Linked DNA regions of Lepisosteus oculatus. The protein of the gene in region 1 purifies or fractionates together with the protein of each later gene. This does not show direct contact. Links are inferred from orthologs where the notes say so. Each region holds a gene or a part of one and is shown on either strand. Other genes may lie near its edges. The genes, in order: calpain-1 catalytic subunit-like and cast.

Region 1 (15,508 bases):
TAGTTGGATTTCTACTACAGGTGCTTATAACAGCCAGTGCAATAGCTGGTGTAGCACATGCACTGTAGCCAACTATATAGCATCCACTCCTGTGAGTTTTGGAAGACTTGAGAAGTCATGAACACAGTGTGTTGGTGGAGCAACTCCCAGTGTGAAATTTAAAAGACTGAGAGTGTCTGCATAGCTAGGAGGGACTTTGTACTGTGAATGTAGTGCCCACTGGGCCAGGAAGTAGCACCACACGAGATAAGGCTGTGCAGGAACTCCAAAAGAAAGATCATAGCTATTGGGTAGATTTTATGCTTATATTGCAGAATCAAATGACCAGACCAAGTTGAGCTTCTGAACATAAAATCTGTTATGTTCAAACTGCAACTGCTGGCGAGCAGGGACTACTGTAGGATTTACTGTATGTCTGATCTAAACTAAAATCTTCTGCATGCCTGGTCTCCTTACACAGTAACCATGCTTTCCTGGAGCAGAGGAAATTAAGAGCGTTATTTACTGCACCATTTCATTTAGCATAGAGCATGAAGATCTTGTATCATAATGACTAACTACAAATAATGACAAACAGATGTGGCAAATAGCCTTCTCTCCTTTGTCACTGAAGAGAGGATGCTGCTGACCGTGTGCTCTTTTCCTTTGACCAACAGGTTTCACCTTAACCAATAACATCCACCAAGTCCTTGTGGCCCGCTATGCTGAACCCGACATGACTATTGACTTTGACAACTTCGTGGCCTGCCTGATTCGTCTGGAGACGATGTTCCGTGAGTTCCCTTTTTCCCCTTGAGACTCTGGCGTGCCAGTGGCTGGGAGTGATTTTCTCAAAAAGAAACAGAGCTGAGCGACACTAAAGGTGCTTCCTGAGGGGCTCGGTCTGCAATGTGATCTCTCTAGCACAAGCTGAGCTCTGTGATCACGGGTTTGAACCCGGGTCACATCAGTAGCAGACAGTTACAGGGATTTCCCAAGCGGTAGCACACTGTGGTGGGACACTGCCGAGTGCACGATGAGATTGCTCGGCCAGGGTTTTCTTGGCTCTTGTGCAGCGACGCCTTGACCCTGCGTCCTCTTGGTGCCGTCGATGAGGCTGGGCTTCTCCAGTCCACCCGCAGGGCGGTGCTTCTCTCTCCGTGTTCTCCCCTGTGTGCCCTTGTGCATCTCCTGGCTGATGAGGCCAAATTGGAACTTTTTGGTCTGAATTCTTTGCATAGCGTACTGTATAACGCAGATGCAACCCAGCACATCTGTCAGTCAGCACCACCCCTACAGTGGAGCATGCTGGCGGCAGAATCACACTGGGGGGAAGGTTCACCTCAGTGACTGGGAGGCTTGTTAGGACTCTTGGAAAATGGACAGAGCAAAGAACAGACAAACAGAACAGGAATACCTCTGTCTATCTGCTAAAGACCTAAAACTGGGGAGAGAATTAACCTTTCATTAGGACAGTGATCCAAAGCACAAGGCCAGAGTTACTTAGGAGTGGGTTAAGAATAAGAAAGTGAATGTCCTTGACTGGCCCAGACCTTCCTTTGGGAATCTGTGGTAAGACTTAAAAACTTTTGGCCGTAAGTGATCCCCAAGCAACGTGAGAGCTCAATCACTGAAGATGGAATCATATCTGCATTAAAGAGTGGGCAGAGTTCCTAGAGACTGACCCAAGAAGACTAATTGCTGCCGAAGGTGCTTCCATCAAATATATATTTCATAGGTCTGAATACTTAGGCAATCAACATATTTTAGTTTTTGCTGACATGTATTGTAATTCATTTTGCTCTAAAAGTCTTGTGTTTGAGCATTCAAGTTCTGAATCAAATATTTATTAGAAATGTGTATGTGTAATTCTATAAATGTAACAAAATGGAACACCACAAGAGGGGTCTGAGTAATTTTGCTAAGCATTGTACTGTACTCAGAGTTTTTCATCACTGTGTAAATCTTAAAAAGCTTAAATATCAGGTCTTTTTCTTTCATTAGGAGTCTTTAAGAATGCTGACACAGAGGGAACTGGGGAAATAGAGCTCAACTTTTACCAGGTGAGACATCCTTCCTGAAGTGGAACATAGTGAACGAAAGATATTGGCTCTTCAGAAAGTAAAACATGTTCAGGCTGCAATAAGCTGTTATACTGTCAGCAGGGCTGCTGCTTTGGAGTTTCCATAGGGGAGGGTAAGACATCTACACCCCTGGCTGCAGACTCCCTTCCCCTTTCTTGAAGAAAACATTCAATGGGCACTTCACCAGAAAGAGAATAGTGCACATAATAACACTGTGAATCTTTTAAAAAATCTTTCCAGGAAAAGTGGATTAATCGTGGTATTTTTTCAAGTTTCAGTTAAAGGAGTGTTCGTAAAAGTGTTCATAAAAGTAATTCCCTATATTTTTAGTCTTACCAAGCTAAGCACACGTCCACTGAACAGAACTGAACCAGATCTAGAGTTCTGGGAGTGTTTAGTGTTCAGGAGCTTTTCCTCAGTGTCTGCACTGGCACTGGCAGCCATGTCACCTTGCAACTCATGACTGGCAGCCCAATGAAGCAGGTGTGAGCCTGGTCAGTACCTGGATGGGAGACCTCCTGGGAAAGCTAAGGTTGCTGCTGGAAGAGGTGTTAGAGGGACCTGTAGGGAGCGCTCACGCTGCGGTCTGTGTGGGTCCTAATGCCCCAGTATAGTGACGGGGACACTATACTGTAAAACAGATGCAATCCTTCAGATGATATGTAAAACCGAGTTTTGGTGGTGCTGGAGGGGTGCACCCATTACCTGTAAAGCGCCCTGAGTGGAGTGTCCAGAAAAGCGCTATATAATTGTGAGGAATTATTATTATTATTATTATTACCAGTTAGGTGACACGGCAGGCAGCTTCTGTATCCCAGGGAAAGGTGAGAGAGTGCAGCCTGTGGCCCATGGCTCACCAGTGGCCCTGGAGAGGTCTCATGTGTGCTGCATGTTTCAGATGTTTCCAGATGTTTAAAATGTGCTTTGTGCAGCTCTTTCCAGCCTTGATAAAAAAATTAAATTGTTACGTTCATCAAATGTGTTCATCTCACATTTAAATTAGACCTAGTCAAAGAAACCAAAGTCCAATATTTCCTATTAAAATCTTGGTCTATGTTTCATTTAAAAATAAATGTTTCTTGCATCATTGGTGCTGATTAAACATAATCTGCTCTGTGGAAAGTTAGGGCCTTCAACAGTGTGCTGTGATTGGAAGGGGTTTGGGAGGCTCTGAGGCAGAGACGGTGATGGAGAGTGGGGTCAGACTCCCAAATGCCCATTACCTCTCGGAGGGTTTGGGTGGAACACTGCGGGGACATGTCGAGACACGACCGCAGAGCCGGATACCACACTCACGTGCTCCATGTTTGTCTCCCCAGTGGCTGACTTTCACCATGATCTAGAAGACCTCTGGCCAAGCCTTCAAGCAAAACGGCAAAACCCCAAGGCAAAGTGACCAAAAAGACAGGAACTGTTGTTATTGTTGCTAAAATTACGTTTTTTTGTGGATACGAATCATTTTGAATGCTGCATTATATTTTATGTATTGGACAGAATGGACATTAAAGTAGGACAAATCTTGTTTTGGAATGGAGCACAGCAATAAATCTGTTATAACCACTACAAAACTGGGTACTGCCTTTTTGTCTTTTAATTTAATTTTAATTTAACTCCACAAATTGTTTCTAGATGTTGACTGCTGTATTTAAGACACAGTGATCTGTGGAGGTTTATTCTAATATTCTGCATTTTCCATCTGTTTAGCATGTTCCTGATAGAAGGCATTTATAGTTAATTTATATCTTAATGCTATTAAGATATAATATATTATTCTTTGAATATTAATTGTTTACTGTACATATTGTTGAAAAATTACATAGATCTACAGGAAGGAAGTATTGGTTAATTAGAATTTCTTGATTAGATCATTCTCTTTTCTGTGGTCAAGTTTCCAACACACACAGTCAGCTCCCTGCTTCAGTCGATGTGTCTTGGTTTGGGATGAATTTTAAGATCCTTGTTCAGAAATGCCACTGGCTGTGTGCAGGATCTCTCACCTTGGAAGCCATAAGAGTTAAACAGTGGATTCTTCATTCTTCATTAATGCTTCTGAACACTGGTAACCATACAATTCTGGCCCTTCTGAAGGAACACCAGGTTTTATTTTTAACTATCTTCATGTTAAATGTAAAGATATATTCAGCATTTGAAAGACAGATGCAGTCACATTGATATGTATTTTTTATTGTAGTGCTAGAGCTCTGCATACGTTTTCTGTTACCTGCCATCCACCACACCTACCCTTTGAAGCTCTAAACTGTGACCAGTGCAGCTGTGGTTCTGGATTAAAGCAGTTGTTCCATCCCAGAGGCACCTTCCTCATTCCTGCTCGGAGAGCCGCCAGCAGGTACTGCGCTTTCGAGTAAGGTCATTTGCCAGTGGCAGATGGGCCCGGCTTGAGAATTGACAACGGTCCTGCTGGGATCTGCTCCTGCTGGGTCCTGCTCCTGCCTTTGGCTTCTGTGTAACCAAGGTATCTTCAGAAAACTTTCAATTTCATGGTGAAAAAAACAACTTGATTATAATATGGACCTGATGGTTGTTCGAAATCTGCCATATGCTCAGGCTGTTATTCATAACTTTACTCAGTGTAAACAGTTGCCTTACATATAATCTTTGTAGAGCTGAATGCCCTAAGGCAACTCCACACATGCATGTTTTGATTTATAATCCATTTAAATTTCTTGAAACAATTACTTCCGGTGACAGGACAGTAGGGTGTGGAGTGTGGCATTATTAAATAGCTCCAATTAATTACAACAGAGCTTGTTAGGGTGTTAAATGTTAAATGTAGCTTATCCTTTTTTATGCTCTTATTCACAGTTGGTATCTGACAGTAGGGAAAAAAGTGAAGGAATAGTATAAAATAAAAATGTATGAAAGGTTCTTTGATGATTTTAATCTGCAAAATGTAACCTTCACAGGAGCCAGGGAACCCACTGCTAATTTTAAAAGACATATATGGTTGAAATATAAAAGTAATGAGACTATGCCAAAGTATTCCCTGTGTGGCTGTGTTTCTCACACTTTCTTTCAGAAATATGCAATTACTCCCCACCTCTTTAATATGCCACAGACAGCATCAGGAAGAAACAAATACTGATATTATATTAGTGATATTAGTATCAAGAAGAACACAGTTACTATTAGACCTAAACACTTGCATGTGGTTGGTATCAGGAGTCTGTTTTCCCTGGTGTGTAATAACTCAGACCTGTTTTCTGTGGTGACTGTTCTGTTAGTCTGGTGCTGCCTGTGGAGAAGGACAGACCCTTGAACTGAGGGCACTGCAGAGATCAGAGAGCACTGGACATCAGGTCTGCTTGTCCAGTCTGATGGAGAGAGAACTCTGAGGGACAGAGAGGCACATTGCAGTTAAAGGTAGGAGACCACTGTCTTTACTGTGAGGGTACAGAATTTCAGGGAAATATTCTAAAGTCTTAATCACTGTTGCAGACTGATAAATATTTACTGCTAACAGTACTTAATGTGAATCTTCCTCCTTTTAAAAGTTAAGATGCCATTTAGTATGACAGTGTTCTGCACGGCAGTAACGTGTAACTTAGCAGTTCACTCTCTGTCTGTGGGAGAAAGTGTGACAGTCTGACCTTGAGCCTGATAATACACGTCTTGGACACGTCTTGGCCTGTCCTCTGATAGGACACACCTGTGTGACGTCAGAAAGTTGCTGTCAGCAGTGTGCAGGAGAAAGCGGGGAGAAAAGTGAATAAATTTAAAGGTTCAGGTGGAGAATCACAGTAGAGAATCTTATTAATAATCTGCTTCTTGGAACCTCCAATCAGCTTTGTAAAGCCAATGCAGTTACCCTATTTGTGGATGGCGCTGTAGTTGAATTTCAATCTAAATTCAAGAACTTGGGGTGATATTTGATCCAGGCTTGATGTTTGACCAGTATATGAAAAATATTGTAAAAACATAATTCTTCCATTTCAGGAATATTGCCAGACCGCATTCTATATTGTCTCTGACTGTAGCAGAAAAGCTGATCAACACTTTTGTAGTTAGGCTGGTCCACAGATCAGAAAACAGGGAATAGACCCTTTGCGGGTTACAAGGTCACAAAGAACCAAAACAATGTATGAGGGTAATCCAAGGCCAGACTCAAAAGGTGAGCAGGGAGTCCAGAACCAGAAGGAGATACATGAGTGTCAAGGTCCAGGAACACGATCCAAAAACTCAGAATCAAGGGACAGGCCAAAATCAAAAACCCAGGTAAGCAGTCCAGGGGGAAAACAAAAGATCAGGGGCCGAAAAAACACCAAACTGAGGAAAACCAATCCAGAAAGCTACAGACAAAACTCAGGAACAATGATAAGGTGAACAAGGAACAGGGACGTAAACAGGAGTAGGAGACAAAATCAGGAACAAGGGAACAATGTACCAAAGTCTCAGACTAGCACTCAGAGTAGTGGCAACAATATTGAGCACTTTTTGAACCTTGCGCAGGGTTTATGTAGGCTGGAGGAGGGGAGGCATGGTGAGCTACAGACATCTGGCTACAGACATCTGCTTGGTCTGCACCTCGGCTGCGCAGTTGAGCAGGTGATGGAGGTTGGGGTGCCCTCTGGTGGCCAGATGATAGAACTGTAATATTTGTCTTCTCTAGAACTGATTAATGTAAGACCCTACTCGCTGGGGGAACCTAAATCCATTCTGAACTAAGTTCAGTTTGTCCAGAACTCAGCAGCCAGAATTCTGACCAGTTCTCGTGTGCAAGTGATCACGTTACTCCTGTCCTGGAGTCCTTGCACTGACTTATTGTGAAATTCAAAATCCTCATGCTCACCTATATATTATGCCAGCAGCCATATCACTCTGCAACTCACAACTGGCAACCCACTGAAGCTAAGCAGGTGTAAACCTGGTCAGTACCTGGATGTGAGACCTCCTTGGAAAAACTAAGGTTGCTGCTGGAAGAGGTGTTAGTGGGGCCAGCAAGGGGTGCTCACCCTGCAGTCCATGTAGCTCCTAATACCTCAATATAGTGACGGGGACACTATACTGTAAACAGGCGCTGTCCTTCGGATGAGACGTAAAACCAAGGTCCTGACTCTCTGTGGTTATTAAAAATCCCAGGGTGTTTCCGAAAAGAGTAGGGGTGTAACCCCAGCGTCCTGGACAAATTTCTCATTGGCCCTTACCAAGCATGGCCTCCTAATAATCCCCATCTATGAATTGCCTTCATTACTCTGCTCTTCTCCCCACTGATAGCTGATGTGTGGTGAACGTTCTGGCGCACTATGGCTGCTGTCGCATCATCCAGGTGGGGCTGCACATTGGTGGTGGTGGAGGGGGGTCCCCATTACCTGTAAAGCGCTTTGAGTGGAGTGTCCAGAAAAGCGCTATATATATGTGCAAGTAATCATTAATTATTATTATTATTATAAGGCTTTACATGGCTTCAGTACCTGTCCACAGCCGAAATGTGTTTTCGTTCTTCTATTTTCAGCATGGAATAAACCTATTACTTTTCCCTTGTAAGCTATCACCCTACTCCCCACCTCACAACCTTCATTTTTCTGACTCTGCTCTCCTGTCTGTCTCCCAATCTTGTCTACATTCAATGGGTGACTGGAGCTTCTCCTGCTGCGCCCCAGAGCTCTGGAATTCTGTCCCCAAGGATATCAGGGAGACACCTTGCCTTGCTTTCAAATCCAGACTCAAAACCTTCTTTTCAAAAAGGCTTTATTTAATTCATTCCTGTATCTGTTCCTTTCATCTTCTTCTGCATTTGAATGGCTTGTGTTCATTTGTGTTTATTTTAATTAAGAAACTTGTATTATTATTATTAATATGTTGGCTGTCATTGGACTATTATGTTGTCAAGGTACAGCTGACGTGCGCTGACCCTGTTCCTCAAACAAAACTAAAACACTGTACATAACTGCCCAGTGTGTCGTAATAGAATACCTACGTCTAGGTCTTGGGAAGACACTTAGACGAGGGTATCGGCAGTGTGTCCACAGTGGCAGATCAAATATCAGCGCTCACGCTGCCTCGTGCAGGACGGGAGGCTGGGTCAGAGCTCTGCGGGCACCCCAGCCACCAATCTGTGTTCAGGGGTCTCGGCGCCGGCTCCTCTCCCCTCCCCCCGTCAGCTGGGCAGGGCTGGGCTCCACACTGCAGCAGCGCCGCTCTGAGTGCGCAAGTGTGCCGGTGCCTGTCAGCCGAACACCCGAGCGCAGGTGAAGACGGTGCTCCGCAGTGGTGAGTGTCTCAGCCCGGCAGCCGCGGACAGGTACGCCTGCTGCGGGCTGCTGTGGTTAGGATGAGTAGTCTGCAGGTTTAGGTACGCTGTTTTGCTCTGATCCTTTACTTTCTGATGTTGACTGAAATGCACATACAGTTAAACTGTGTACCAGATTTATGATTATGTGCTGGTAGGCTTGTGTTTTATTAAAGGTTCAAAATGTTATTCGTAAGACCTCCCACTTTGATTTCTTTAGAAGATCTTTATTGACTAGGCAGTCGGAAGCTTTAGAACAAAATGTCTTGTTTGAAAACCATAAAAAGCATGTGGGTTATTTTTCAGTTAATTTAAGACAAGTTCCGACAGTATACAGAGACGGTGTGATGTTTATTGGAGGGCTCTGCTCCGCAGTCGGCAGAAAGCCCTGTTGACAGGGTGGGAGAGCCGGAGCTCCAGTCCCACCGGGCAGCGCGCAGATTGTCCAGGCAGCCTGTCCGCGCTCTGTGCGCTGATCGTCTTTCGATTTGGACAGTGTTGCGGAACAGAGGCATGTAAATATAAAACACTGCTCACAAACACGTGGAAAATATTGCCGTGCTTATGCATGACCCCGAAAAGCCAAAGCTAAACGAGTCTCAGTGCCCTTACGTCAGCTTTGAACAAACGAAGCCATGATGAATCCGAGTCACTGCGGGAAGAAGCTCAACTGCATTTGACCTGGGAGAAATCGTGCTGTGCCTCTGCCAGAACCAGGTCTGCTGGGGAAAGCAGCGCCCCCGTTGGTTCAGATATTAATCTGTACGGCCTTTGTCTTTTTTATTGTTGTGATTTCTTTCCACTCAGAACAAACCGCTTTGCAGTCTTCTTTATGACTAGCCTTGGGGAAAGGGAAAGATAGGATTAATTTTAGTTTGTGCCGATTTCTTTTAACTTTACAGTCTTATTTTTAAACTATACACAACGTCGTTGCCATGAGAATACTATTCGTATAAATTACCATGAATTAAAATTATTTTTCCTCCAGACGACAGCTAAGCGAAAACCGTTTTATTGACCGACGCATGCGCTTGTGGTTTTGCTCGGTAAAGCTGATTGCCGAGATGAAGCCGCTTTGCGCAGAGCGACTAATGGGATGCAATTAGATGAGCTTTCCGCTGCTATGTTTGGATTCCGCCCTCATGCACTGGTTGCTTATAAAATTCGGATCTGCATTTTAAGTAAAAATAAACACTTATAGGGGACCTTAGATCCTCCAGACCCTGTTTCCTTGAGTTTTTTTCCTACTCAGGACATTTTTAAATCCCTGAAAAAAACTATACGACTTACTGTACACAAGTCATAATCAGCATTTTGACTTTATTGCTGTTAAATGACTTAGTTTTCTTAGGAAAGGATGTCTGAGGAATCAGAATGAATAGATCGTAACTACATAAGTTGTATAAACACAAATGAGAGAGAGAAAACACAAAATGAAAACACAAATGACAGAGAGACCCATCATATTTAAATCCTACCTTTTCTAAAACAGGAATGTTTACTTAAATCTCTAACCGCTGTCCCTCACTCCATGGAATAGAAACATCAACATGCAGTCATGGGTGGTACACATTAAAATTAATTGGTAAAACAGTATTGTAGGATAAAACAATATTATTGGACACATTTTAGTTATGTATACTAATTAAATTAGAAGGATTAGCATTACATGGTTCTTGCTATGAGACCACAGGCGATTCAGACCTGTCTCGTTTCAAGGCCCACATCCCTGTGCGAGGCAATCGGGCCCGTTCATGTGGGAGACAGGTGATTAAACACAAACCTTCAGTTCTGTCACTTATGCAGCTCATTGGAAAGAGCTGAGTGCCAGCGTTTTAGTGCAGATTCTCCATAAGCCAGTTAATTAAATAGAACTATCTTAGTGTGTACAGTAAGATTAACATTCACGTTTATTTTTTCATCGTATGGAACGGAATTCTGTTTCAGTTGTGTAGTTCTGAGCTGCTGTTCTGAAATTAGATGAACTGGCTATGAAGAGCAGTGACATGCTGTAATAGATTGTGGTCCCTCTGTCAGAGGATTCACCACAGCTCATCAGGCTGTTTTGGTACTGGGAGGTGTTGTTGGCCCTGACAAAGCTCTTCAGAGTCAGCAGATAAGCATGAACCTGTAAACACAAATGTTAACTCAGAGGAAGGACATTTAAATTTGGAAACAAGAGGCATTGATTTAGACAAAAGGGTGTAGGAGTCTGCACTGAGCCAGTAAGCCATGTTGTTGAAGCTGGTACCCTGGCATCTTTCAGGATACAACTAAATGAGATCATTGGATCAATAAGCTACTAACTACCAAATCCACTGAATGGCCTTGTTTTGTTTGTAACCTTTCTTAAGCTCCTATGTTAAATCTTTGCTAGCTTGCACAGATTCATAATTTATGATGCTAATGAAAGATTTATGGTCATACTGTTCTACAGAGTAAATTATACTAATGGTTTTTCTTAGACATTTTGTATAGAAAGGAAGACAATCATTTTTGGTGCTTTCATTTTCCTGTAGCAGAGCTGTGCTAATCATATTTTTTAATTTCTCTAAGGAGTAAATTAATATATACTGATGGAAAATAAAAACCTACATACTCTGGCCCTCCTGTCTGCTCGGAACAGGCTGAAGAGTGACTCATCCGTGGACCTGATGCTGCTGCCGATGAGTCCATCACAGCCTCTGTCTGGCCCAAGCCAGTCGGGTGTGACATATAGGAGGTATGAGCAGAGGGCCTCTGACAGGTCGCAGTCCTGTCACTGATGTAGGCATTGTGTCTGCCGGCAGTTTCAGCAGCAGTACGGGTGGCAGATCTGAAACAATTTCTCAGATGGTCTGCTGAAACCTTCTCTGCAGTCGGAACACAGTGGAGCGGTTTACTCCCTAGTGTCTGGCAACGCTGGCACATGACATGCCTGCCTGCAGCATGGCAGTGGCCTTCTCTCTTGCTTCTGGTGACATTCGAGGCATTATGGAATGCACAGAAAACTGACTGTGTGTGGCCTTTTTCTTGCAGTGACCTAAGCTTTGAATTAAGGCCTTTTTAAAGGTGACCTGATCAAGCATTGTTCCACCTGCACCGCATTGGGTAAAAGTGCACCAAACGAGCTTTCGTGTGATTGGCAAGTTGCAATGCCTCACTGCACCAGCTGTATTGCTAGTCAGAGGGCTTAAACAAATTGACAACTTTTTGTGAAAGTACATAAGCTATCACTATAGTATTCTCATTCAAGAAAATGCTGCGTTTCTTTTTTCCATCAGTATACTGTATATTGGTGCTGATAAATCTGCCAGTTTCCGGGAGCGCAGCCCCTCCTGGTGTTCGAGGTGAGGAACCAACATCTTTTTGTTTAACTGGTAATGGTGTTTTCCTCAAAAGAGTTAACTAAAATAATGTAATTCGACATCAAGGTGAAACAGACTCCTTTGCTGGAGTTTTGACTAAATGTTTTTACAAATTTAATGTTTTTGACTCAAATTCCTGACTGTGTCCCTCGCACAGTACTGCAGAGACTGTTCCAGGCAGTTTGTGAAGGCTGGCATTTAGATGTCTGGTCTCTGTCAGTGGCTGAGTGAGAAGGAGAGAGGGGGGCTTGGGTTACCCTGGGCTCTCTGGGCTCACTGGGCTGCTGCTCGTACAGTAGCTGCTGGCAGCCTGACATCATGCTTCACCTGCGGAAAAACACTTTCAGCATTCCTGCACAGTGCAGTGGCACCTGGCAGGTCTTGGGAAAGACATGCCAAGTCTTATTAGCTTTCCTCGAGGGAGGCAGAAGTGCCTGTAGCTGCTGAAACCATATTGATTTAAAACGAGAATAAAATGTAATTCATCAGCAGGTTATGGGTAATTGCTGCATCATCCTAATGGCTCACAGTGTTTTGCAGAAAATTGTAAAAGCAGAAACTCAGGTAATGTTTTAGTAGACAGGCATTTCATGTCACAGGATTCCCAGTTTTTCTGAAGTGTTTATCACTTTGTAATGGCTGAATATCGATGATCTGAAAATATAGTTACATTGCAAGACCAGATACCAAAATACCTGTCAAATAGTTAGAGATCCAACAGCCCTGGTGACTGTGCTGCAGGGCTCTGGGTAGCAGCTGCCCACTGTGTGTTTCTGCTCAAGGACGTGATGTGCTATGAGCACACGTATAGTTCTGTTGTCTTCAGTAGCACATGATGAAGATAAGAAATATTCAAACTTTTTAAAAGATCTACTAATGTTTTACTTTCTAAGATTTACTAAGAAGAACTCAGTAAATGTTCTCCTACTGGGAACTGAACAGGGTTTTCACAGCACAAGAGCAGGATGTGCAGCAGCATGTGAGCATGATAAAGGTACACGTGAGCACAAGCCCTTTGTGTGAAGAACTCTTCATGGTATCAGTATTAAATGCTCTTCCCAACGTTTCCACTTGTGTCTGGATCATGTTTCATTGCTCATTCTGCAGATGTCCAGGGGTCGACTTTCTCAGTGCTATTGAGGATTTTAAATAGGAGTCAAGCAGTGTTCTCGGTTCAGGACTGAACTATTTTGATCTCCTAGCCTGGCAGTCTCAGAGGGTCTAAAATCTGACATAACTTCTCTTCAAGTTATGTGAAGAAATGTATTTGGTAAATAGGAAAATGGACCCCAAAAGAGCAAAGATAAGATTAAGCCAGTCATGGGCTGGGTGTCTGTGAGGGACTAAGGTCCTCTATACCTATAAATATACCAACAGCTGGTCTTTTGATTCAGTTGCTGTTGCTCAGTGAGCGAGAGTGTACTCATAGCAGGTGGGTGTCACATTGATTAGTACTGACTTCACCACGTGCAGTGTGACCGGTCTGCAGCTCCCTCCTTCTCCAAGTTTCAGTGGAACTCCTGTTCCACAGGGCCTCAGTTCCGAGTACATCCCAGTTTGCCAAATTCAGCCCTTCCAGCGCCCGAGGTACTTGACTGGCTGTGTGAGGTCTGTCGGTGTGCCAGTGGGAAAGTTAGACCAGCAGCTCAAATGCAGCCTGCAGTCCCAGTGGCAGTTCTGGCTGGATGAACCCCTCTGGAGTCCTCGCATTTAAATTCTTAAAGCTTCAAGCTGCTGTTTTTAGAATTTAAAGATAGGCATTCTGGTGACTAAAATGCTTTATAAAGGTTTACCATTTTTAACAATAAAATAAAACCATGCAGTTTGTTCAGATCTGACCTGCAGGATCTGAGTGACTCTGTGGCACTGCTGGAATGTGACACAGCTGGATTTCTGCTCAGTGTGGCACTAAACACTGAGACCTTCACTGGGGGTAACCGGAGGTGCTAGAAATTCCTTCTCGCGTTGTGTAAATATTTGAATGCTTCTCTGACAGCTGTGTTAGGAGGAATTCTAGCAGCCTAAGCTATAAAAGAACTGTACGTGTTTATTCTACATAGACAATACACTGATTAGCTGCAGATATACAGTATGGAGTCATAAGCACTGTATATTAGTAGCTTATAAATATCTGCAAATTACAAATGAAGTTTTCTTTCTTCAAGCCTGCTGTGGCCCAGAGAAAATTTGAAGGTAACAGATTCATGTTTCTTGCTGTGGCTTGCTTCTTTCTTTGTCTATGTTTTAGTGCCTCTCAGAGCGAGTCCTTTTCCATTCCGAAAATATTCCCTTTTTTACCTTTTTTTTTCTGTTTTGCGTCCACATCCACAACACTACGTAAGACAGCTGTTCCACAGGATCCCACTAAGAGTGAATTAAGAGAAAAAGTTATTCTGCTAAGCATCAGCTGCAACATTGCTATTTTTACAATAATTCTTACACCTTACCTTTCCATTTACCACTAATACATAGTTTGATTTAAAAACTGTGTGTCATGTACGAATAAGTACTGCAAATAAGTAGTAGACTGCAAAGTATGTACTTATTTGTATGGGATATCAGAAAGCATGACTCAGAGACACAGTAGATCTGTGGATTAACATATCCAGAATAGCTCTTATTCTCTGCAGCGTAAAAGACGATTTGGGTCTCTGGAATCACTTATGCTTTTAAAGAGACTGTATAAGGATATTTCAGTATAGCGAGCTGACAGGGAAGCTCTCAACACAAAAGCCACTGAGGTACAGCTTTCTCTTTCAAACTGTGTGTATCCCCACATTTCTCTTGTCCCATTAGTGTTGCAAATTCAAGCTCTTGACGGCCTTTTCCTTTCCCTGAACACTGCAGGGTTCCCACTTGCCCTGAAAGACCTGGATAACTGCCAACATCAGCTGGAGCACAAAGAACAGCATAACAGGAGAAGCAGTTAAAAACAGTGGTTTACTGTCTGTGATGCTCTGCTGCTCAAAGTCTTTAGATCTGCTGGCTTTCAGTGGCAACTTTACATTGTTGAAAATTGTTAAAACTGTCCAGGGAAAAGTTTGGGAAAACTGGCCTTGGAAGGTACTGTGGGAACCCTCGTGTCTTACTGGCTACAATATTGGTTTAATCATTAATTTTGCTTATTCATTGTCTTGATTGCATCGGAAACTAACTGCACATTATTATTACAGTGAAAAGGAACCAGCAATAGTTAATTTGTCTGTAAAGTAAAAGAGTTTGTTTTGGCTCTTTGACCTTGCTGGGAGGGGTCAAAGGTCACAGACAAGGAGACCACTCCTTTTATCTGCTGCCAGGGACAGATCTGATGTTAGATAACTAAAATTGCCCTAGAGTTTGATAGAAGGCTTTGCACCTTAAATACCTGTTAAACAATATGGCTTTTGAACTATTAATTAGCAGAACAGGGCTAATGCATTTTAAACTTAACACAATTAACCTGAAGCTAAACACTTTACTCAGAAAAACATGATGCTCTGAACACGTCTTAATCTCTTTTGTCCACTTTATGTTTGATCAGTCAGAAATGTTCTCAATTACAGCCCAGGTTACTGTCACAATCATTTGCAGTGTTTTGCTATATATCATAAAGGAGACTGCTGCTCTGCTGTTGCTGTACAGTGTCTGATTGATTTCTGGGGGACGTTCTTGATGGTGATGGTGGATGTTTCACAGAGAGGGAAAGTACAAACTACTCTGAAGTTCATTGAAATTGCAGGGAGCCTGACAGACCAGTTACACTGACAAGGCAGGAAAAGAACTGCAGGTCCCCTCTCTCTGTCCATAATATAACAAACACTCAAGATTCTATCTAGCTGAGACTGTCTAGCAGCTGAGTGGCAACTTCGCTC
Region 2 (15,758 bases), on another chromosome or scaffold:
GCAGCAGCCGCTCCATCTCTGGCCGACCCCGCCGGCGCCGCCTGGGCCTTCTTCTCCGCCTGCTGTGGGAGAGAACGGACAGGCGTCAGTCCGGCCTGGCCCCACCGGCATGCTGGGAACACAGACAGCCCCACTGCCACCCGAGGAGGGCCAGGGTAGCCGGGTAATAATTACAACAGAAATAAATAAATAATAATAATGAACAGACTGCTCCTAAAAGACTGAGATCACGAGAAGGAGAACGCTGCACGATCTAAGCACATAAGACAGGAGGCCTTTCGGCCTGTCTAACCCAGTCAGTGATTAGTAGTTAATTGTCCCCAGTATCAGCCATTTCTTGAACGGAGTCAGTGTGCTTCAACACCAGGGCTTGAGTCCCACGAACACAGGAATAGGAGTTCCTCCTCTCTCAGCAGGTCTCTGTAATCGCCTCTCGGAGTGCTCTCCTGGCCCAGGGGGCAGGCACTGAGATGCAGCTATTTCAGAATCGCCCAGTTGAATATCGCCAAAACACACCCTTGGAGCCACTGATGCACATCAATTAATCTTTTTCAGCTGCGGCGATTCTGCTTTGATAAATGCAGCAACTTTGAAACATAAGAAAGGTTCCAAGTGAGAGGGGCCCGTGATGCCCATCCAGCTCATTTATAGTCACTGCTAGTAGTGCAGGTTGCTGGTAGTTTATTCACTTTGTGGTTTCTTTAATGATCTGATGGAATCAGCTTAAATAACATGTCTGCACCTCTTGCTCCAGACACCCACCACTATTAGTGCAGAGAACTGCTTCCTATTCTCAATCCTAAATCCTCTGTGTTCCCTGGTCCTAACCACGTGATCCTCAAGTCACCACTACAGACTCACAAGGCATTCGTTATGTAACAAAACCCTCCTCTTTCTTGGATAACAATATGAACATGCGGTTGTTGGTTTAGGAGCAGAGTGGACTTGCCCAGCCCTTCTGCCCCTTGGCTTCCAGCCCTTGATAAAGCAAGGGAAGAGAGCAGGCAGCAGGCTGCTGTGTTACTGGGGTTCCTGGGTTCAGCTCACAGGTGCTCTCCAATCTACAGAACAGGAGCAGCAGGTATGAGAATAGCCCACAGTCTGATCTCTCCACTCACGCCGAAGACCTGAGAGAGGGCCGCTGGAGCCTCACAGTGCTCCAGGAATCCAGATGTTGTTCTCACAGTGAGCTAAAAGCCTCTGCCCTCAGAGTCCCAGGACAGGAGAGGCGCAGAGAGGACAGACGCACTGAAAGCAGCAAACACCCCCAGCTGGACACACGGCCCCGGGGCTGGGAAGAAGCAGAGCTGCTGGAGGAGGGCGAGCGGGCTGGCAGGCTGGTCCCGTCAGGCGCGAGGCAGGCACACGGCACCTCGGCTAGGCCCCCGCGGCAGGCCAGGGCCAGAGCGCAGGGCACCGCGCTCAGTCAGGTCGCTCGCGCGGAACGGATTTGCATAGCTGTATCAGAGCGGCCTCTGTTCACGGCCTTCAGAGAAAGCACAATGAGTCTTCAAACAGCTGGGGTTAGGCACACATCCGCCGTCACTGCTGCCACCTCACACATCTCGGGTCCCGGTCCGTCTCCTGCCTGCAGAGCCTTCTGCGTGGAGCTTGCATGTGTCCTCCTGTGTTTGCATGGGTTTTCCCCGAGTGCTGCAATGTCCTTCCACATCCCGAAGACAAGCTGATAGGTTGACTGGCTCTGCTAACTGCTCTTTCCAAGAGGGAGCCCTGCCTGGAGCAGCACTCCTACAGCTCCGACCACCAACATCGTTAGGATTAAGATCAAGAGAAAGCGAGGCAGATGTGAGGGGAACAAGAAACAGGAACGTGTGATCATGTGAAACAGGGACACGGAATGCTATCCAGAAACTACAATGTTAAAAAAAACTGACCAGCAACACTTTCTGAGCTACACTTTCCTAAACCTGTAGGCAGACACACATTTCCCTCCAGTACATCACTATAAACTGTGTGATTTGCAACAGTACAGCAAGTTTGTCGATCTGAAACACACAGCAGTACATTTCCTGAAGAGCCCAAACAAACCACGGCCACAAAATGGGTCCTAACTTGTCTGTGTGAACACCCTCTCTCCCCGTCTGTGTGCCTGCAAGTCTCATGGAGAGCAAGCTGGGGTATGCAAAAAGACAAAATCCTAATGCAAGAAATTGTATAGGGCCAATAAAGTGATCTTATCTTATCTAAGATACTGTACAAGTTTCTGGAGGTATCCCAGCAACACTAACTGCTGCTGCACTCGTCCAGGGGAGAATGTTGACTCAGTGGTTTCTTTTCAATTCAATTCAATTCAAGGTGCTTTATTAGCATGACCGATAGGTACAATCAGTGTTGCCAAAGCAAATAAAAATAATAAAATTAACATAGAACAAAACAAAAAATATAAGTAAAATAAAATCTACAGACATGTTACAGACATTTACAACAAAGACATATTATATAATATTGACCCAGAGTATCTGTCACAGTGCAGTAGGAAGTGCACCTCTGTCTCTATTTCTCCCTGCTGGCAGTCAGCCTGTCCTCTCTGGGCAGCCAGGTCTGCCTGTGTCGCCCAGTTTCTATGGCCAGGTTGTGGTCACTGAGCCTGTACTTCGTCAGGGTCTGTTTCTGTTTGTTATTTTTTATTTTGGTCAAATATGTGTATTGTCTGTTTTAGGTTCTGTAGCATTCCAGTTTATGTTGTGTTTGTGTGTGTGTGTCCCAGTGTGTGAGATATTGCTGTTTGATCTGTGCTGTGATGTGGTTGAGTCTGGGTTGTGGTGCTCTAGCAGTGCTGTCCTGAGGCTGGTTAGTGTTGGTGTGGCTCAGGTCGGTGAGCCTCAGGACCAGCTGGCTCAGGGGGCTCTGTTTTGGGCTCAGCTCTTGGCTCAGCAGGGCTTTGTGGTGGTAGGAATTTTGGTCACTGTTTTTTAGGTGTAGCCAATACTTTAATATTCTTTTCTGTATGTTTATCAATAGTGGGTACTGGCCTAATTCGGCCCTGCACCCGTTGTTAGGAGTTTTTCTCTGCACACGGAGGATGATTCTACAGATCTCCATGTGCAGAGTTTCTGTGGGGTGTTTGTCCCATTGGGTGTAATCCTGGTCTGTGAGGGGACCCCAAACTTCACTGCTGTATAGGGCAATGGGTTGGATTACACTTTCAAATATTTGGAGCCAGATTCTTGTTGGTGGGTTGATGTTGAAGAGCCTCCTTCTTATTGCGTAGAAAGCCCTGAGTGCCTTCTCCCTCAGTGCCTTCACTGCCAGGTCAAAACTCCCGGAAGAGCTGATGGTGAGTTTTGACCTGGTTTCTTTTCACTGTGTAGAGATAACCTGTGAGCCCTGCACCCACGCCTTACTGTAAAGAGCACAGCAATGCAAGGAATGCTGCACTACAGACTGTGCATTGCACACTGGATACTGAATACTGCACACCACAGACAGCACAATGGATACTTAACAGTGCTCTCTGCAGACTGGATACTGTCTGTGGACCCAAATGCAGAAATGAATACGTGCACTTCCAGCAAAGTAATTGCAAAGATCTGGAAATGACAACATCAATATTGTACAATATTCAAGCAACGCTTGAAATATGAGCAGGGGTGAGTCACAACAACAGTTTAATATTGCAGTTGTTTCCGATCTCAGCTTTCGAAAAGTGCAACTTATTGCCCGAGCCTATCAGAATAATCCTGAAACTTACTGGTGAGATTTTCAAGAACATAAAAACAGTAACAAACAAGGGGAGCCTTTTGGCCAATGTGGCCGGCTTGGCAGGGAGTTAATACATCAAGTGATCACCAGTGAGCCATTTGAACAACATGGCTTGTTCCACACACCCGCCACCCTTTGTGTAAAGAAGTGTTTCCTGCTCTTGGTTTTAAATGCACTTCCAACAGTTTCCGCCTGTGGTTTTTCGCTCTGATTGAGCTGGAAGAAAGAAACACAGTGGTACAGGCTGAGTTTGCAGTGCAGCTCTGGTCCCTGAAGAAACTGGACCCACTGCTGGTAACCAGGGCACTGCTCCGACCCACCACAGCGGCACCAAAACCAAGGACTGCTTCATGCTGCACATTTCCTTGACCAGGCTGCAGTTCAGTAAGGGAACAAATGGTCTGCAACCCGTGTTGCCCTCTCTCTGACTCTTTATGTGAGTAGATAATACTGGAACCACAGTATTTAACTTTCCAGTAAGACACTGCGAATAACCAAAGATTTCACAGCACGTCACGCGCAAAAACTGCATTTGATGCAGCCTCCCAGCCATGTTTTCCACTTAAATATTAAAACCAATTTGTACTGTGGGGAAAGCAGTATGGAAAAACTAGAGAGCGTCATCTGTAGTGCATTTTACATACTGCAGAGTGTGAAACCGCTGAATAGCTTTACTGCTTGCATTACCTTATGAGGCTACCTGAAGATATTTCAAGTACAAAATAAATAGTAATACTGATGCCGAGAAATCATTCACAATCTCCTTAAAATGAGATGGACGAGGTGGAGTATTGTGCTGCAATCCTCCGGGTATCGCTGTGTTCTCACACACGCTGCTTGAAGCAGTAATAAGTCTGAACTTAGAGAGCAGCTCTGTGTCGAGACTCGTATGTCCTTTCGGGTGTCTCTCTGCAGACTGAATGCCGAGACACGCTTTGTTAGCGCCCCTAGAGGCACCAATGCGCAAAGACGCTTCATTCACTGCACCTAATCCAAGTATCGAGTCTGCAACTTCTACACCGCTGTTAAATCTTAAATCAGAGTGAATCAGACTAAGGCTGTTACTTTCCCAATCACGGCTCTAAACCAGGGGCGTTTAACATGTACAGCAAGCGACTAAGGCAAAGGAGAAGACACACGAACTGTCCGTATTCCAGAGACACGCCTCTCGTGAAAACTCGACTCTGAAGTGTTTGGAGAGTCCCGGGCGGCTCCCCGCACGGAGCTGGAGCTGCTCTGGAGAAGCGCCGGGAGTTTCCTGCGAACGCGGAGCAGGTGCTGCTGAGGACTGTTTGCTCAAGGCTCCGCGCACAAAGCGCGTATCGCCTGCAGGAACGGCAGCGCTAGCACTGCTGTCAGTCAGCCATCCTGCAGACACACGCACGGGCATCGCGCTCTGCGCACCCAGCCCCTGCAGTCACAGCGAGCCTGCCCGGACCCGGAGGGAGAAAACAAACCTCCGCTCTTTTTTTTGGTCCTCACGCTTACCCCGAAGCCCCCCAAACGAAAGCCTCCGAGCTGCGACTCCTCACGCCACTTACTGTCATGGACCAATACTTCGCATAAGCCATCTGCGGCTCCGTGCGTCAGCGCGCTGGCGTGAAGGGACGAGTCCGAGTCTCCGACCTGCCGCCTCGGGCACCGGGAAGCGCACAGACCGGACGGGCTTCCTCCAGTCAGCCCACTCGTCCAGCCTGTCCGCGCTCCCCGAGTCCCACGGGCCGTGCCCGTCCGCCCCCCCGCACCCTCGCCCTCTTCACGCGTCACCCTGCCCCTCCTCCAGGCGCTGCTGCCAAATTCCTACATTTTCCAAAATCAGTCTCCCATTTTGACCGAACAAGGCGGGGCGGGGCGGAGAAGAACACGACAATACTTACCGACACACATATAAAACTCAACGACAATAATTACACCCAACGTGTTTAATTACCCGGCGGTCTGGGAATACGTTCTTACCACGGGCAGAGGCGAATTGCCAAAAAAAAAGAGTCAAATTTTAACCTCGTTGTGCAAGATTCCAACAGACACGAGCGGAGGTATTATTGTCACGTTTTCCCCCCGCGTCGCTACGGAGTAGTGAACTTGTGTAACAATGAAGTTGTGTAAACTTGTGTGAAACAGTCCTAGAAACCCTTATCCCCGCCGGTCCGTGGTCCCTGCGCAGACCACCCTGCCAAAACCGACTGACGCCCCTCGGCCAGGGGGCCGGCCGCGTCCAGGGTCGCCGGGCCCCGGCTTGGTGTTCGGGAATCTCGCACTGAGAGCCGGGCTCGTCCCGGCAGGAAGGGGCCGTTGACACCACGCCACGCATTCGCGGGGAGAGAATACCTGCTGCGACATCACTTACCCCTCTCGACTTCTTCGGACGGTTGTGTTTGCCTTTGTTCGGCATCGCTGCAAGTGCGCACGGATGAGTAACAAGCACTCGCCCTGTGAAGACAGACTTCCAACCTGACACACAGTTGACTTTCTAACCAGGATTCGCCCCTCCCGCTGTCAAAGTAAGACCGAGCGCTAGGTTTTGATAGATTTACTTCATAGGCCGGACCTGTGGCAGGCTATCGCTACCGAGAGGCGTGTGCAAGCGTCGCCCTGGGCGCCTGTCATGCTGGAGCGCATATTGAAGTGGTTCAGACCTAATTATTCCGCTTCACGTTTCTGACTCCGAGGGAGGCTCCCTGCTGCCGGCGCTCCGGTACCGCCTCTCTCCCAGCTGCTCCAGCTGCCCCAGCTGCCCGGGCCGCGAGCGCAGCAGCGGCGCGCGACCTCCCACCGCCTTCTCGGGATGAAGTACCGCTGAGCTGCTGACCCTCTCAGTGCAGTACACTGTCACACGCAGACGTGCAATGAAATGCTTATTTGCTTGTGTGCTCCAATACACGGACAGAAACAGCGGCAACAACAACAAGTTAAATAACATCTTAGTGAAAAAAAACGAACCCATCAGTGTGAGCCGGTGGTGGGGGTAGAGTTCAGTAATCTGACAGCTTGTGGGAAGAAGCTCTCTGTGGATCTGGAAGTTGGTGCCTTTCTGCTCCTACAACGCTGACCAGAGGGAAGGGAGGAGAACAGTGAGGAACCAGGATGACTGGTGTCCTTCACGATACTTCCAGCCTTCCTGAGGCTGCGAGTAGTGAAAATGTCTGAAATAGAGGGGAGCTGTACCCCAGTGATGGAGTGGGCTGACCTGATCGCCCCCTGTAACCCTTCTGGTGAGACAGCGAGCTGCTGCCAAGCCACACCGTCCTCCCACACGTGAGCCAGTCTCCACAGCGCACCTGTACCATGTGGTCAGGACCGCTGGAGACAGACCACACTGATTCAGCTGGCTGAGGAAGTAAAGGCGCAGTTGTGCCTTCGTTTGAGCTCCAGTTACATGCTGGGACCACGTTCAATCACTAGTGATGAAGGTACCCAGGAACCTGGAGCTGCTGACCTTCTCTACAGCCACCCCCTTGATGTGAACAGGGGTGGGGTCCCCACCCTGCTTTCTAAAATCGATGACCAGCTCCTGCAGTGCACAATGTCATAGAATGAAACACTTTAACGCCCCCAAGGCTCTGGAATTCTATCAGTCTATCAAGAGTATCAGTCAGCTTCCCTGATCGCTTCCAGACCTTCCGAAAGAATTGGACTTAATCGGTTCTCTGTCTGCCCCTTCTGCACTCCAAACCCTTGTCCTTCTACAGAGAGATTCCAGGATAATGATTATTTTACTGCACATTGAAGTGATGTAGCATGAAAGATGCTATATAAAAGGAAGGTTATCATTATTAACAGCCACACTGTGTCTCACCAGCACTGACACAGTGAAAGCCTGTGCCAGGTAGAATATTCTTTAAACCCAGAGTGAGAACTGAAACATTCCATTACAATTAACACCTGTGCAATTTACACTTCAAACTCAATTACACACACTGTGCACAACTACACTTTCATCTGTGCCTGAGTCAGTACAGTCCTCCAGTTGGCTCCACTGGGAAATCCACTACATTGCAAAAAACTCCATTGCACTCTTCACCTTGGTCTGTAGTGAATGGCAGAGTGAAGAGAGGGTGTGGGTGTGGGGAGGGACCGGCTGTCAAGGGCTGTGTGATGCCAATTTGCCCTAATGGGCCAGCGACACCCTAGTCATGTCATTTGCCAAACCGCTTTATACCATACGTTGTGGCAGGAAGCAACGAGCACAAGGCAGGGTACACCCTGGACAGGGTGCCAGTCCATCGCAGGCAACACCCTGGTGTTGATGCAATTTCACGCCTTATCCTCTGTGTTTTCTAGTACAAGGTCCTCTTAGCATAGATCCCAAGTAATTACCAACGATTTGGGGGCAACATGTTGGGGTTTGACTGTGCCTGTGATCGAGAACGGGCACGGGGTGCGCTTGAACAAACTGTTGATACACCTGGCCGTCTGTATACAGTACAGCCACTTCCTGAACACGCCCTGGGCAGGGAGCCTGCCCACACCCAAAGCTTCTCGGGATGAATCTACAGCATTGTTGGGCAGCCCTAGAAAAGCCTCAGTCTGAAAAGAGCCGAGGTCTTTTGGGAAGGAGAAAGGACAGCAGGAGAGACTGCAGCAATCAGACTCTGTAGGACTCAATCACACACCAGTGACAGGGAGCCTCCTCTACCTGGAACTGGACTCGGAGATACACAGGACAGAAGGGAAACACCAGAACACAGAGTCCAGGACACCCAGAGCTGAGGAGGGTCCTGGAACTTCACTGTCTCCGCTCTGGTGTCAGGAGGCAAACCAGGTTACTGAGTGGAGCTGGGTCTGGAGAATAATGCTATTGGACTGTTCCTCTGGGACACTGGGTTCTGGGACCTGTTGGTCCTGGACTGCGCTATGAGTAAGCCGTGTCATGTTCTGTGCATGGAGTGACATCCGTGACACGAACCTTATATAATCTAATTCTGCTACAGGGAGTGCCCTTTAGAAATTCAAATCGGGTGTCTTTTCTGTGTATCTGTAACATACACTGCTGCCTTTTGAACATGAAGCTTGTGCAAGGAATATCAGGCAAACAAGAGTCTTTAATGTTTGTCTTGAACAGGTGACGAGTCAGAACTCCTTATCAGCGCTCAGATAGCTCTGAACTCAGGTGTGAACTTCAGTGCACAGGCAAGCCTCAGCATGACAGGCCTGAGAAGTGAGTTCAGTCATCTGTGCCTCCACATCCTACCAGTCGAGATTCAGCCTGGAGGAGTGCAGGCAGCTTGTGAAGGGATATTTTTTTAAAATATCTGATAACAAACTTCTCAGACAGCACAGGACATGTTGTTAAAAGCCACGCAGAGATGATCACTCTTGAGAAGGTTGAGCAGCTCTGATGCAAGGAAACACACCCAGAGCTGCCCTACACACGTCTGGCAGAGAGTGAGCTCCTTTAAACACTGGGTTTCCTTTCTTCTCTTTTCAGCAGGGAATAAACCTTTCCTTGCTCTTTTAAACACATTCCGCTCGGTGAAATGGGAATTGTAGTGTCGGGGGTAGAGCCGAGCTCTCATGGATTACAAACACGGGCAGCACCATGACTGGCCACAAGCAGAACCGGCTGACCCACGTCTACACCAGCAGTGCCAATAGTGCTGCCTCATCTCCATTTCACTCCCGATGTGAAAAACTACCATCTGAATGACGTTTCAGAGGACCAAAGGACACACATTTTTTTTAAAAGTATTTCAGTCATTCTGAGACCTGTTACTCCTTTAAATTCTGATGTAGGGGCCTCTTCAGAGCATTGCTTTGACAGCATATAGTGTAGAAAAATGCAGCTCACACCTGAATCTTATGGTTTTGAGCTGTACTGTATTGATGTTTATTGTACATTGATTGTATACATCTGTAAAATCCACTGAATGATTGATGTATTCAATACAGTATATACACATTTTGTATTGGAAAGTAAATTCTGATTCTAATGTGAGCTCACATGTGAATGTACCATGTAAGAATAACATGCCCTCAACAAGTGGCTCTTCCTCAGAAAGATCCCTAGTTGGTCAGACAGTGGTGATCTAAGAGAATGAATGCCACAGACGTTCGTGCAGCACAGAGCCTGCTCTACGGAGAGTCATTCAGCCGAAGTGACTTACAGAAGATAGGTGGAAAACTACCGCGTTCATGAGCTGCTGCTGCAGAGTCATGAGACAGGGGCACAGCTGAGGTTTGAACCAGGAACCTCCTCATGTGTTCTTAAGGTGGTGGATATTAATTTAAAAACGAAAGGCAGATTCTGTAGAGTAACACAGGATAAAAACTGGATCAAACTTATTTTTATAGCAATAGTAAGCTAGTGTCCAAAAGACGAACCCAGCGCTACTGTGTGTTCTGACTGCAGGGGTGGACTGAGCACTCAGGGGAAATGTGAGGGTGTATTGGGGTTCCCTTGTTTTGGGGGTGATGAGCTGAATCAATGTGAAGATTCCTAGTTCTACAGTTTTTGCAAGGTGAATAAAGTGTTCCTCCTCTTCTGTATTTTTTACTTTTTTTAAGTCATACACTAAAATACAGGAAACACATAATTATATCTCTACCATTCATTCATTCATTCATGCTCCCTGAACTGAAGAAAAGGTAAAAAACTCAGACCAAGGGATTTGCACAAGTACGCAGCGTATCGATCGACCTGCCCCCACTCCAGCTCACAGGCTCCTGCCTGTCCAGAGGCTGCTGTGTGCAGTCCGGAGCCGACTGCCTGGCTCAGCGCTCGGAGCACAGCAGGCCTGTGGGAGAAGCGGCTCGGACTTCCTGAGATTCTTCACCCAAGGAGCTCGGCTTCCCTTGGCGTTTCCTAGCACGCCTGTGCAAACAGCGCTTTGCTGGCGGACCGACAACACGCCGTGTGAACCGTGGTTTTGCCTCATGCCTGCTCTGCTCTGCTCTGGCCTGAGCACTCGGGCTGGGCGGATACGTCAGGCCTGGTTAGTGTGGACACAAACTACGCTGGAGCACTCAGCACTTTTCATTTCAAATAAGAGCACTAATGGTAAAGTCAAGTGTGCATTGAGTGTAGTGAATCCAGGCCTGGTAAAGCCTGATTCAGAATCACAGGAAAACAAGAGGCCAGTTTCTGTTTGATTTGACCGGGGGCTGGTAGGCGTGGTGCTCTCTCGCTTTGGCAGGAGAAGCAGAAAGGGAGTGTTAGCTTTGACAGAATGAGGCAACAAACGCGAGTGTCTTTCAAAACTCTGTCAACTTTACACAGGAACGAGTCATGGAAGTAAGTGATCACAAAGCCAAGGGCATCTGAGAGAATCTCTTACTGGCACTTTCCACACAAACAGCCCGGGTGAAATATTTTAAAAGAGGAATATCAAACTCCCCTGTGCCTTAGGTGGGCTTCTGATTAATCACAACGCAGTGACCTGCTTCTGGCTTTCACATATGAATAAAAGGGTGAAGGGTCCATATTGGCAACTCTGGACAGGCCAGGGGACAGTTTCAGATGTCTGTATGAGAAGATCCAGACAAGCACACGCCCCCTGCTGTAACAAGCGCAGTCTGCTCACTGGTTCAGACTCCCGGCTCCGTTGCAATGCTCAACATGAACACAGCCCAGCCCATGAATTCAAAGCAGTCTTACTCCCTGAATTGTCTCCAGTGTTATGAGGAAGCAGTGCTCCCCCTAGTGGATTCAGAAGACATTGTCATTTTCATTTTGAAGTTTAAAAGTTCCTGAATTGTTCCAGCTGCATGACTAAGTCAGCGACTTTCCTTAGGTGTGCCTTTGGACTCAAGTATATTTAGTCTTTCTTCTCTTTTGGGTCCTACAGACTGTTTTGGGACCTTGGATTTATGAGTCAGGCCCCTGTATTTTGCAGTCGAGTGTTCAGACTATCAAAGAAGAGTGAAGAGTTAGAATTTAAATGATGTAGTTTAGGAGGCTTTCTGTTTGTACCTAAGCTAGGTAAACCCACGGTACACTCTTGGAGAAAGGCTAGCATGGTGTTATATTTATGTGAGATATTCTGTTCACCATGACCGAATCCCTGGGAGGGCGTGTCTTCTCTAGTGTGGAGTTGTCCTTAGGAGTGCAGATCGTAGAACTGGGAGGTTGTGGGTTCACACCCTGAGCGGTAGTACCCCCGAACTGGGCAGCGCCCTCAGAACGCTGCAGTAAGATGACCAGCGGTCTAAAGGGGTACAGCTGCAAGTCGCTTTGGAAAACACTGTCAGGCAAATGAACTCATAATAGTTCAGGTGGGTAGCTGCGTCGGCATGCTGCAAAGGAACAGGTAACGTTGCGTTTTCTTTCTTCTCTATTCAGCATGGAATAAACCTATTACTTGAACTAATAATAGTTTATATTCTGTTCCAGCCAAGATCTTAATTGCAGGCCAATAGATTTCAGTTTTCTACCCGGCACATTTTTACATTCACTTTTGAGTTTTACAAAGGCGATTTGTAAACAGTATCAAACGTACTAACTTGGGGGTTTCAGACCTGCCTTCACTCACCTGTGTGACCTGGGGGCGTGTCTGATGCAGTGTCATTCGCATCTGCTGGGACTACTGCAGAGAGAAACAGGAGAGGAAACTCTTACTGAACAAGCTGAGCACAGACTGTGCTGAGCGTTGTGTGCTGAGCTGGGGTTTGTCTGAAACCACGGACTGAGTACAGAAACACCCAGTCCAAAATAAGCAAGAGATCTGGGGGCACAAAATCAAGAAGACACAGCACCCTGTAGTGTTGTTTATATAGAACAAAGCACATGCCTTTACAATGATCATAAAACAGTCAGGGACATGTAAATCGAAGGCCAAACCAGATTGGGCTCATTGACCCATCTTGCACATTTGTTTTAGAGTTGTAAGGAAAGTCACACAAGTGTGGTTTACAGTTTTTTCTAATTCCACACTACTCTTGGAGTGAACACATACCTCTGGGTGTCAGCCTTAAGCACGGGTCCTCTAAACTCCTGGTCGCGTCCCGATGCTCGCTTGCTGCTGTGCACACGTTCATCCACCAGGCTGATGCCCTCAGCGTCTCTTGGGATGAATACTTGTATAATACTCACTCATTACTCCATCTGTTAAAGATCGGAGACTTCCTCACTTATCTGTTCAAATATACAATTAAACCCCAATACCCATGCTAGAAAAAGTATATCTACTCGGAGACAATCGTTTTCTCCTCGTTTATAAAGACAGTAGTACAGTATCTTTCCCAGTTAAACACGACTCTTGCAGAGCGACAGTCAACAAAGAGCAGTACATATACGAACAGTATCGGAAATCTCTTAACAGTTGATATAAGAGCACGTTTGTCCGCAGAGAAGCGGCTGAGTGGTTAATGTCCCGCGGTACCTGTGATTGGGCACTCAGGTGCACCGCCAACGACCTGCAGGTGCGAGGATGTATAAATCAGAGGGAGGCGCGCACAGCGGTCGTTTTGGGATATCGACGCAGAAGTGAGGAAGATGGTAAGGGCCAAACCTCTAGTTTATCCGCGTATCCTTAAGAGCCCCGATAAATGATGAAACGCTTTCTAAAGTTTCGTACACGGTAAACAAAAGTGTTAAGGGGGGGAATCGTGACACGAATAAACACAAAATCAAATCGAGATGACTTATTACAGCGTGGCTGTATTACTTCAGTTTCTTGGCGCAGAGTTTGATGTTGATCTCCTAGTAAGAAACGACCCCTTCAAAGAATACCCCAGTTCGTCCACTTCCGATATCGAATGTGACCGTCTCGGGTGAGCTTGGCGCCGCGGTTCGGTACCGCTGGTGACCCGCTGCGTGTGCTCGCTCGCCCCGCAGAGGGAGTGTATCTCGGTCCATGTCGGCCAGGCGGGGGTGCAGATCGGCAATGGCTGCTGGGAGCTGTTCTGCCTGGAGCACGAGATCCGGCCCGACGGCACCGTCTCGGACCCGAACAGCCCCTCCGTCGTGGACTCGTCCTTCTCCACGTTCTTCAGCGAGACCGGCTCGGGGAAGCAGGTGCCGCGGGCCGTGTTTGTGGACCTGGAGCCCACAGTCATTGGTAATGTATCTCGGGGAACAGACTCCACGCACTCCGGAACGGTGGGGGTGTTTTTAGTACTTTTCTGTGTTTTGATAGATTAGCATCTTTTAGTCTGTTAATAAAACGCGTCCCTCTTAATTGTTAATTCGTGCAATGACAAGCTCCATGTTAATGGTCTGTTTCTTGCATTTGTTACCTTTTTCTTTCTGAACAAAAAGGTCTATTTTAATGCCAGTCAAAGGGGGGGGGGGGGCAGACTGAAAGCCTTTCAGATTAAGAGCTCATTCCCAGTCCTTATTGTTGGTAGGTTTCTTGCTGGCACCAGTCACTGTACTATCCCTGAAGTGTTTTCGGCTCAGCCCTTGTTGCCTTAATGCTCTTAGCCAGTGCTCGTTCTTGGTCCTGGACTGCTGTACTGTACAGCCCTGTAAATGTGAGGAACTTGCCCTTCATGCTTAAATGCCTGTAAAAGGACTAACCTGCAATGGCCAGCAAGAGGAGAGCCCAGCTGAGGTGAAACCAGGAGGATGAGGAAGGAGCCACAGGTTGGCCCAGTTGGCTGTAGCCATTGAAACTGGACTATATAGTGATGTCACAAGGAGGCCTGCAGCTTCAGACGAAGTATCAAGTCGCAGTTCCTCAGTGGCTGAAAGGCACCTCTGTGTATAGAAGTGCTTGGAGAGCCCGTGAGCTGAAAGGGAAATGATTAACTGGAGTCATTGCTCTTCCAAGCTCATGGCTGCGAGTCCATGTATGAAGTGAAACTGTCCTGGATGCCAGTTTCCCTGGCGCCTGTCCGAGCTGGATCTGTCCTTTACAGATGAGGTGAGAAATGGGCAGTACCGCCAGCTGTACCACCCTGAGCAGCTCATCAGCGGGAAAGAAGACGCTGCCAACAACTACGCCCGCGGCCACTACACCATCGGCAAGGAGATGATCGACCCCGTCATGGAGAGAATCCGGAAAATGGTAAGCAGCTGGTACTTGAAGTCTTAAGGGAAGTTGTCGGATCACCTCAGTTTTCTGCTCTGGTTTGGTTAGTGTAATTCAGACCAAACTCCTCTTGCCTGGAAAGGTGAGCTGTGAATGATGACATGGGCAAAGGTAGAATTTCATTGTAATGTTGTAGCTATAAGGCCATTATGCAAATTCCATTCCATGTCTCTTGGTTGAAATCGGGACCTGGACTGGTGAATGGGAAACTATGCCACATCAGCTGGTGTGGTGGTCACTACGGTGGCATCATTGTTCAGTCCTGGGGTTCCTTGTCTCTGCCGTCAGTGTTACTGTCCCCCCAGAGGGTAGTTCAGCTCCAGTCTCCAAAATGGACTGGTCTAGTCTGGGCTGCAGTTCCACCTTATGTCCTGTGCTTCCAGGTTACTCATGGAAACCTGGAGAACTTGTACCAGGAGTAACTCCCATAGGTGGATGTGTACCTATTTGCTCATTTAGACACCATGATCAAGTTCTACACATGTATAAGCTTCATGATCTTGCAACACTACTTATTCCAGTGAAGCATTCAAAGGTTAATGCAATATTTTCTTTCCTAGGCTGACCAGTGCACAGGTCTGCAGGGCTTCCTGGTGTTCCACAGCTTTGGAGGTGGAACTGGCTCAGGATTCACGTCCCTGCTGATGGAGCGCCTCTCTGTGGATTATGGCAAGAAGTCCAAGCTGGAGTTCTCGGTTTACCCTGCTCCACGGGTCTCCACTGCTGTGGTGGAGCCGTACAACTCCATCCTGACCACCCACACCACCCTGGAGCACTCGGACTGCTCCTTCATGGTGGACAATGAGGCCATCTTTGACATCTGCAACCGTAATCTAGGTGTGGAGCGTCCATCTTACACCAACTTGAATAGGCTAATTGCACAGATTGTCTCCTCAACCACAGCCTCTCTGCGCTTTGATGGGGCCATGAATGTTGACCTCACGGAGTTCCAGACCAATTTGGTGCCATATCCCAGAATTCACTTCCCCCTGGTCACGTATGCTCCCATCATCTCTGCAGAGAGAGCCTACCATGAGCAGCTGTCTGTGCCAGAGATCACCAACG

Evidence for each region.
Region 2: the proteins of calpain-1 catalytic subunit-like (region 1) and cast purify together in Homo sapiens (co-immunoprecipitation; 4 studies listed by BioGRID and IntAct, counting the BioPlex papers as one, with this or other methods). This does not show direct contact. The link is inferred for Lepisosteus oculatus from reciprocal best matches to the Homo sapiens genes CAPN1 and CAST.

What each region holds. Positions count from the first base shown.
Region 1 is NC_090712.1:377,748-393,255, reverse strand, and holds the start of calpain-1 catalytic subunit-like, read left to right. Parts: upstream 1-8,050; 5' UTR 8,051-8,291; intron 8,292-8,306; exon of another isoform or gene 8,307-8,373; intron 8,374-13,822; 5' UTR 13,823-13,850; intron 13,851-15,508. Other genes in the region: calpain-2 catalytic subunit-like, read left to right, coding at 657-773, 1,984-2,042, 3,383-3,406. UniProt on the Homo sapiens protein: Calcium-regulated non-lysosomal thiol-protease which catalyzes limited proteolysis of substrates involved in cytoskeletal remodeling and signal transduction. Proteolytically cleaves CTBP1 at 'Asn-375', 'Gly-387' and 'His-409'.
Region 2 is NC_090698.1:74,409,223-74,424,980, reverse strand, and holds the start of cast (calpastatin), read right to left. Parts: upstream 6,389-15,758; 5' UTR 6,116-6,388; coding exon 6,071-6,115; intron 5,392-6,070; exon of another isoform or gene 5,295-5,391; coding exon of another isoform or gene 5,265-5,294; intron 63-5,264; coding exon 1-62. Other genes in the region: tubulin alpha-1B chain-like, read left to right, coding at 13,154-13,156, 13,496-13,718, 14,521-14,669, 15,254-15,758.